Linked DNA regions of Schizosaccharomyces pombe. The protein of the gene in region 2 interacts with the protein of the main gene of each other region in a pairwise test. Each region holds a gene or a part of one and is shown on either strand. Other genes may lie near its edges.

Region 1 (3,488 bases), 710 kb from region 2:
GAGAATCATCTTGTTCAGGAAAATCCGCAAAACTCGCTTTGGCAGCAGCTAAGGGATCTAGTGGGTTGGCATCAACATATGGATCTACGGATTTATATATAGCGGAAGGTAAGCTCTTTCTGTGGTTCTGAAATAGGGGAAAGGATCCATTAGAATGCTGAAAAAATGATCTGCTTATGCTTGGAGAAACTGCACGGCGGCTGAGGTTTCTTTCAGAATGCAGTAATGGATGTCTTTTACTATTTCGTAAAGATACGGGATGAATCGCGTCCATCGCAAGGCCTTCTTGTTCTACATCAGGGAATATAATAAATAATGAATGAAGGAGGCGAAATGCTGTCTAAATCGATAAGACCCTCACAGATTGTTCAAAAAAAAGAAAGAGGTTGTGTGTTATGAATTGTAGAAAGAAGGTTACAAAACGACTGCACTGATGGAAGTAGCATACATGTGATTTTTCCTTGCGGGTTACATACCAGATGACGCATTGCTAAATGACTCTGAGTACTGCGCTAAACAATTACCTTAAAACTTTTCACCAGTTTTGTCACTCTTCCTTGCTGCCCCGTATATTGCTTACGCAGTTTCAAAAACAATGTTACCTCTCTTTTAATAAGCTTACTGACTCTTAAAGTATCAATAATAAACTAAACAATAAACGAAATTTCACTTTGATCATTATCAAACATGATAAAACAAAATATTTCTTCAAAATTTTACTCTTCAAGGAATTTGAAAAGCAAATAATTATAAGGCTAGCATCTTTTTGCAATTAACTATTAGCTGTTGATGATACACAAACATTACAACAGAGACAATCAATATTGCAAGGGTGAGCCCGTTTTTTACACGGTTAGCTAATTGAAGCATTACCGTATTGAAAATAGTAACAGCTAGTTCGAATACTAAAAAAATTTTTAGACCAGCCTTACTATCTCGAGAATTGCTGATATATTGCAGCAAATGATCACAAAAGTAACATATAGCAAATAGAACATGGAAAGTACAGCGGATCGTCAGAACATTGAAGATAAACATTTCATTAATTCTTAAGAATTATTGATAGCGTTAGCAGTAATTGAAGATTTGGAAGTCCATGAATCGTAAAAAGTTTGAGAAAGCTTATGACAATGTTATATTTCGTTTCCATAACTAACGAAATAAATCGGTATCCACATGTTTTCGTATCCATGAGTTAACATACCATTCTGGAAAAATAAATAAAAAATAAATTCCGGCCGCCGATGAAGATTTTGAGATATTTTCGGAGACACTAACTAAGATTTTTTAGGACTTTGCGTAATTTTCTGATTTCAGTTGTTGCTTAATGACATTTAAAGTTTTGTAACAGCTTTATTGTCAAGTGGCATGCCGGTAGAGTCAACGTTGTTGTCACTCATGACTTTACGGATATAGATGAGTCTTGCCTGATCAAATGAGCACTGAAGCTGTTTCATCAATCCACGAATTTGTGAAGTAGCGGCTTCGTCCAGGCCGGCCCGAGTGTCCTGAGCTAGAATATTTTGGGCGATATCAAATGAACTGGAGTTAAGCCCATTGTTGAAATCTGCTTCAAAAGAATTTTCAACAGGTGAATATCTGATACTTCGATAGCGAGATATCCAAAATCTTCTAGCAGCAAATGTAATGGCGATAATTATAGCCAAAACAACAGTGACATAAGAAACGATTATATGAAAACTTGCCATATTCGGCTATAAAGACAAATATTTAGATAAGTAAAACACTTGAAAATAATAATGTTAACGTATTCCGTTTAGAAGGAGAAGTCCAAACAGTCTAATTTCAAGTCGACCTGACTCGTTAATATGGATTTTCTTGATAATAGCGAATTTGATATGATAGTAAAAAAGGAAATTATTGTATGGTTAAAACAACATGCAGAGTTTCGTCGGGTTAATGACCACAAGTAGTAAAACAAAAAAAAAAACTTAAGGCTAGGGGTATGCGCTCAAAATCAAATACTGACCATAAACGATTACGCAAGTACTTGATTTTGCAAAATATAATGAAATTAAAGAGATTGAAAACCAATTGAACGACTAGTTGTGCTAATTATGAAGATTCTTTAGGTAGGTAGATGATGAGATAGGTCAGTAAGTGAGGCTTACCAAATCACTTTATTCAGTGCGCAGCAAAGACACAAAGTCAATACTTCTCAGTTATTTAAATGATTTCTAACTTAATAATTGTAATTTCGTATATACAGTAATTAAATTGCTCGATCCGAGATGGTTAACATAGCAAGAACATTCCATTCAAGATACGAAGCAGATGTAAATTAATGAAGCAATAAACGATTAACTAACCATCAATTATAAGTAACGTAAATTTCTTGATATGTAAAAACTCGCGAAACACGAATTTGCCTGATGATTCGATAAATCCACTTTCCTTTTTAATTCATAGACAGTATAAAGCAAAAAAAGTATATTTGATATAACATACCACGCCGTCAATGCACATATGCGGTGTTAGAGTTAAGAATATCCCCTCATATGCTTTCCTGTAAACATTCTATGCTCGCCAGAGACAATCTGTAAGTGATAGTAGTAATATTTCTTGAATAATATCATTCTAGTATCACAAATTAACAAGTTCATCTACAAGTAAGCAATGGTTTTTCTATCTTTTTTACAGCAGTTAATCATCATTCAAGACGGAATGGCTTTAACATTTCTTCAAAGGATAAAATCCTTATATCAACTTTAAATATACACCATTTTAAGTAAGTTGTTTTGAGTGAGTATTTGTTGTCGCATTTCTCATAAACCCTAAACTTTTACTTCAAAAAAAATCTACTCTGCCAAAAAAATCAGATAAACAACTTGTGCTCTTTAAATAATTAGTTAGTGTATTCTTCTTGTGTATTTATAAAATTCTAAAAAAAAGGAAAGTTGTAACGGAATTTAGTTTACCATAACATGATTCCGCTAAGTTTGCTACCGTTCGGACAACTGTTTACACATTAAATTAATTAAATTCTTAGAACGAATATCTACGGCCATACCTAGGCGAAAACACCAGTTCCCGTTCGATCACTGCAGTTAAGCGTCTGAGGGCCTCGTTAGTACTATGGTTGGAGACAACATGGGAATCCGGGGTGCTGTAGGTTATTATTTTTGTAGATCTTTAATTATTAATTCTTTAAACATTCCACTGTTAAAGTCCGGAAAGAAATAATAAATTTACTTCATTTTCAATTTATGAGATTGTTTGAATGCTTGGTATGCAACTTTGATATCAATAATTTGTGTTAAGTTTTCAGAAACGTCTGTTAAGCCATAACATAAGCAACATATACTCCTTTATAAAAACAAGAGTACCATTGCTAAGGATAATTACACCAACAAAAATATCGCAAGCTTAAATACTTACTCAAATTGGTAATCAGCTTTATATGATCAGGCAACTTACACGGTATTCATTGTGAAGCTTTCATTGGAAGCAAGTCTAAAAGCAACTGA
Region 2 (6,099 bases):
AAATACAATGCAAAACTTCGAAAACCGTGTATTAAAAGATTAAGACTTACAGATTTTCTACAAGCGTACTCCTTTTAAAAAGCCTCATTTTGTCCAAAGAATTGATAATGTGGGTATTTTTCGATGCGAAATCTACGAATACAAACAACTTCGCAAATTGGAGATTACTGCATACAAAATGAAAATGTATTTTCCTCGCAAGCTATTTATTTTGAAAAATTATAAATTACCTATTTTCTAATACAATCTCTCATTTTAAATATCACCGCAAATTATTTGGTCTCCGACAACTGTTTAGCGTGTCGGTTTGTACTTCACTATTTCGTTATCCCAACCTAAATCACTGGGAGAAACCTTCGGAAAACCACTTTTCGCGATCGATTTATATTCATCGGAATAGGAGATTTATATCTCTTCCTTGTTCAAAAAGAACTCAGATTCTTTTGAACATCTTGCTTTTGCCTTTTCAGACATCGTTTCCTTACTCTACCATAAGGCAAGAAATTATACCAAATCCATTCAACTTGTCGAAAAGAAGAGTACTTTATAGTTCATATGCTTGAAAATAACGGAAGTGTGATTTTAATGGAGCCGGATCATCTACGGACGGCAGTGAACCGCTCAATGACTTCTCGTGAAGGTCGAACGAAAAATCGATTCAATCCTATTACAGGAGCCAGACTTGCTGCGGGTGTTGTTGCTTTATCTGCAGACAAAAGGAAAGTCCTATTAGTTTCTTCTGCTAAAAAACATCCTTCTTGGGTAGTTCCTAAGGGTGGATGGGAGGCTGATGAATCTGTTCAGCAAGCTGCCCTTCGTGAAGGTTGGGAAGAAGGCGGACTAGTGGGTCATATCACTAGATCCCTTGGGTCTTTCAAGGATAAGCGTCCTACTGATACTATTGACAGAAGGAAAAAATATTTGAAGCAATTAATGTCAAAAAGTAGCGGAAATGACGTCTCAACCAATACCGAGTTAGGAGCCGAAGCAGAGAAATTATTACTTCCACCTAGAGCCGAATGTGAATTTTTTGAAGTTATTGTTGAAAGATTAGAAGACAATTACCCAGAGATGAGGAAGCGTCGCCGAAAATGGATGTCTTATCAAGAAGCAAAGGAAGCGTTGACAAGTCGTAAAGATATTTTGGCAGCTCTTGAGAAGAGCTCTATCATTAAAGAGGAAAACTGAAGTACAGATGCATAATGTTTACCATTTGCAACCTTTTATTCAAATATTTTAATTTACCATTTTTTTTGATTTCTTGCTTCAATATTTATCTTTTTCCATGGGATTACGAAATTGTTATATCTATTAGTTACCATGTCAAGTGTGTTAAAAAGGCTTGAAGTTTGCAAATCTTGATTCTTATTTTTTTTTTCAGCAAGCTGGGTCAAATTGAGTTTTCGACATAAAGCTCATTTCATGAAACATATATCCTTTAAAGGATTTCAGCGGTACAGCATATATTCCAGCAGTTCAACTGCTATTTTTTCTTTCCTTTTTTAAAAGTTTTTACTCTCTTTGTATATTTTCGATTAAGATCATTGTCTGCATAACATACTAATTCTATTTATAAATATATTTTCAATTGAATCGCATGATAATTCAAATTTTTTAAAACAAAGTTTCATTCCTTAAAAAATCATCTAATCCCACCTGTTTGATGCTAGGGTGCGAGTTAATCGTTATCGTTGTGTGCTATGCATAAAAAGCACATTAGTTGCTAGCATATTAATTGTTTGCAACCAATTTTGATTAGTGACGTTAATAAAAACAAAATTGTTCCATACGGTAAAACGTATTCGTTGTTAGATACTAATGAGCCCAAGAAGTTTCGTGTGTCAATTTGAATATGTCGTGTAATTTTATATTGGCTTTCAGCAATCATATAGCTATGAATTATAGTGAATCCATTGACGCTCATTACACTTACGTGCGATAATTTTAAAAAATACTTTTCAATTAGTAGTAAATAGATAGCGAAACGACGAACTATAGCAAACATCAATCCGTTAGTATAAATATTCGTACAAAATGCTTATATAAGAATTTGAGAATTACTTAATATATTTGATTGACGTTGTTCAACGTGAAAATGTACATAAAAGCAATTTATAACCACACCTAAAAATCCAAACAAACTGCAAAATTAAAAACGTAGGATTTAGCAGTTATGTTAGTAAAGCTTCAGCTATCAGAATAAAAAATTTTTAGAAAAAGAAACAAGAAGAAAATACATATATATATTTTTATTTTCAGAACTTTGACGGTCATAGCCAATTCTTTTAAAAATGAACTAAATAGCACTGTCTCACATTCTAACAATTGTCGTTAATCCTGTTAGATCCCAGCATAAGTTTCTGGATCTAATCTGAACGAGAATGTAACGTTTCACAGGTAAATAACTTTGAAGACATAGGGCATAATAGGATAAATAATTGATGAAACAAAACTTTTAATATGCGTTAGTTTAGCCAGGTCAAATTCAACAAATCACTAACAATCTGAATTACGGAAATATCTTTCACATAACTATAGATCCTTAATTTCAAGACAGTTACTGGGAGCAAGTCGTTGACCGTAATAAAGATAACCATAGTTTTCCAATTAAAAAAAGTGAAGTTTTGGAATCGAGCTGTTTTAGAATTCACCCATCTTAATCTTGATTTGAAAATGTCGATTTTTTTTTCTTTCAAAAAAAAAGCGTTGAAGCAAGAACAAAACTTTGTAAATTGAAGCCAAAAATAAACGCATATGCACAAAAAATTTAAATAGAAAAAGAAAAGAAAAAGAAAATTGAGCAAGAACTAATGTTCAAATTGCCTGGATGGCGATGTTTCCTTTGTATTGTTATGTTCAGAAATTACGATTTGTGGTCCAGCGGAATGATCGTTCAAAAGGGCATTACCTAATTCATCCAATTTAAGCTGAATATCATGAGCTAAATGTTGCGAATTGGGAGATTCTTCAACAATAGGTTCCCATCCTACAGGTGGAGATCCAGGAGGGCTAATAAGCCAATTCTTCTCAAACTTCGGAACCTGTAACGATTGGTCTACAGAAATTCCTTCAACATGATTAGGATCATCTAATACATATTGACAATGCACTTGTTGGCCGGAAGGTAGGGAACCAGTACTACTCTTCTTGAGGGTATCCTCTTCAACAGCTTTGTCATTGTAAGAAGCCAACACCTTCCCCAATCCTCGAAGCACTCGAGTAAAAGCAACCGGATTGAGTTGTTGAACAAATTCGTTCAGTTCGTCAACGTGATCGGGACTCGTAGTAAAGACTAACATGAAGAGCAAACAAATATTTCTATATGTACTGGGAAAAGAACATATATATAATGGAAAATGAAAGAAAAATAATTAGAAATAGTCCTTAATTAATCATATGTTGAAGCATGCAAATTAAGAATCAATCTTTTAAAATTTTATAGAATTGGTGGTCCAAATGATTTCCAAATCTAGGGATTTTTTTGTTTATTTTTTGTGTTTTAGATTGAAATCGGGTTTAGTAGGTAAAACAAAAACTTAGAGTATCTAACAGAATATCATTAAAAGAAACGATGAGATTTTTCAAATGTTGGCTTACGAATGAATTTGTCGACTACTTAAACGTCACATTGAAGTAGCGATTTGATGAGATTGGTAATAAGTATGAAGCTAGCCAAAGGAGTGATTGTTAAATAGATATGTAAATAAAGGATCTAATTTGTTTGTTTTAAGAATCGCCAAATTTAGTTTAAATAATTTGTTGACCTTGTACGAGTATTCACGTTGTATACTGAAAACACTTAGCAATTGCAAGACAAAACACAACAAAATAAGAAAACAAAAAGTAAAATGATGTTAAAAGTAAATCAGAAAATTTGAGAATATATTGCTTGCTTTTTTTTTTTAATTCTTTTTTCATTCACTAGATAACTGTAATTGTCAATGTGCCGCTTATTATCATTTTTCAGGGTCGCAAATTTGCAATGAGTCCAAAGCCATATAAATATTTCGGGCGGTAGTAATTTTACATTTATGAGTTCAGCACCTATCGAGCTTTCTACAGTTCATTTCATATAAAGCGAAAACTTGTTTTGCTGTCCACACCTCTTAGTCAAGTAATTGATGTATACATAAGAAACTGGAAATGGCGATTTAGCTAAAATTTTATTATGAGAAATTGTATTGATTTTGTTATTTAACCAAATTCATCGTTCCCTACTAAAGACAATACTTTTTCTTTAAACAAAAATTGATAATGGATTTTCTCTTCAGAAGGGGGTTTTCTGTTAGATTAAGAGCTAAAAAATTGCTGTGGATACCTCGCTTTTCGTTTCTCATGGTACACAGTTAAAGCGGTATATTCGATCTTTCTAATACAATTTCGAAGCGATTTTACGGTTGATACAGCAAGCTTGTTCACCATTGAACAAGATGATATCAAAATTCACCAATTGTTTACTGAAAAGTCATTCTTCATACAAATGTTCTTATCTTTTTGGCGGTGCGTCAAATACCCATGAAAAAGTATCTTAGTGTTTGACCTAGCTTATGTTCCATGATCTCGCATTTAGTGTTCGTTTAACATATGGGCGTAAAAAGCTTACCTCCGGTAAAGATAGGTAGACTCGGTCGCCATCGTTACAATACACTCTACTCGCTGAAGATGATGAATGATTCCGTTCATGATATATATATCGATAGCCTCTTCTTCCCTAACAACAACGCATCCTTTGTTCACAAGTTTTACAAAAGTATTGTAATTCTCTGCTCCAATTTTATAAGAGAAGTACCTATTCTAATAGTTTTTTCTGCTTGAAGGGAAATTCGCATTAACCCTGATCACGCTGGTATCGCATACTCACCAACGTCAAATTTGAATACTTAAGCACGATTTTTACGATTTTTTTTACATTTATTAGCGTCGATAAATCGTAAAATTTTGGAAGAAGGAATTCAAACGATCCAGTTTTCCCATATCTTTTCTGTTTATCAAGTGGTGATTGATTTGTTTGTTTACATCAATTGCCCTGTCCAAATCACACTTTTTACAATTCATACGTTTTTCTCGACTTTTTTAAAATTGTTACCGTTTTCTTCTCTTCTTTTTATTTTTGTACGTCTTTGAATACTAATTCACGATTCGTTATTTCCCGATCATACTAGTTTGTTTCGATCCATTAACCCGAGGTAAACATCTGTAATTATCTTATCAATCTTCGAATACCTCCTTTCTTTTTATCGTGATACTGGCTATTGATCGTTTATTCACAGGACATTAACCACAAATATCCGGGTTGAGTCGTTAATTGCTTTAAAAAGTCTCATTTCTTAAGTTTTTCAACTTAATTTTATTTTATTTTATTTTTTTGTTTTTAGGATTTTAATACTCCTTCTGCTATTTGTTTTTGTGTGCGTCCATTGATCGTTTGTTCTCCTACGCTATTAGATATACACCTCTCTTTGTTGACGTTTCTCTTTTTTTCTCTATTCAAATTTTTTACTCCATCTGACCGTTCTTTTTTTTAACAACCATTATGACTGTTGAGCAGAAGATTATTTTTTTCGATTTGGATAACTGTTTGTATCCTAAATCTTACAAAATCCATAACATGATGGCTGCTCGTATTACTGCATTTTTCTCTGATAAGCTTGGCATACCTACAGAGGAGGCAGAACGCCTTCGTGAAGTTTACTATCGGCATTACGGTATAGCAATTCGTGGTCTTGTTCTCCATCATGAAATTGATGCTGTGGATTATGATCAGCGTGTCGATCAGTCTCTTCCCTTAGAGAAGGTTATAAAGAAAGACGAAGTTTTGCGTGAGATGCTTTTAGAACTTCGTAAAAAGTACAAGTGCTGGATTTTTACGAATGCATATATCGTTCATGCTAATCGTGTCCTTAAATATCTTGGTATTGAGGATTGCTTTGACGGTATAACGTACTGCGACTACAATGCCAAGGATTTGATCGCTAAACCCATGCCTGAAATGTATGAGCGTGTAATGAGAGAAGCAGGCGTTACTGACAAGGATAAATGTATATTTGTCGATGACTCATATGGTAACATTTTGGGTGCTCGGGAGTTTGGTTGGAAATA

The links. Proteins that work in one complex are often made in the same cells at the same time.
Region 1: the proteins of rcn1 (region 2) and SPOM_SPAC1687.07 interact in a two-hybrid assay, tested with the Schizosaccharomyces pombe proteins (one large-scale study listed by BioGRID).

What each region holds. Positions count from the first base shown.
Region 1 is NC_003424.3:911,878-915,365, reverse strand, and holds SPOM_SPAC1687.07 (uncharacterized protein), read right to left. Parts: upstream 1,710-3,488; coding exon 1,335-1,709; downstream 1-1,334. Other genes in the region: irs4 (ENTH/VHS domain protein), read right to left, coding at 1-274; SPOM_SPAC1687.08 (uncharacterized protein), read right to left, coding at 748-1,038.
Region 2 is NC_003424.3:199,680-205,778, forward strand, and holds rcn1 (calcipressin), read right to left. Parts: upstream 3,602-6,099; 5' UTR 3,300-3,601; coding exon 2,808-3,299; 3' UTR 2,050-2,807; downstream 1-2,049. Other genes in the region: diadenosine 5',5'''-p1,p6-hexaphosphate hydrolase Aps1, read left to right, coding at 556-1,188; SPOM_SPAC24B11.05 (pyrimidine 5'-nucleotidase), read left to right, coding at 5,534-6,099. UniProt on the Schizosaccharomyces pombe protein: Inhibits calcineurin-dependent transcriptional responses by binding to the catalytic domain of calcineurin.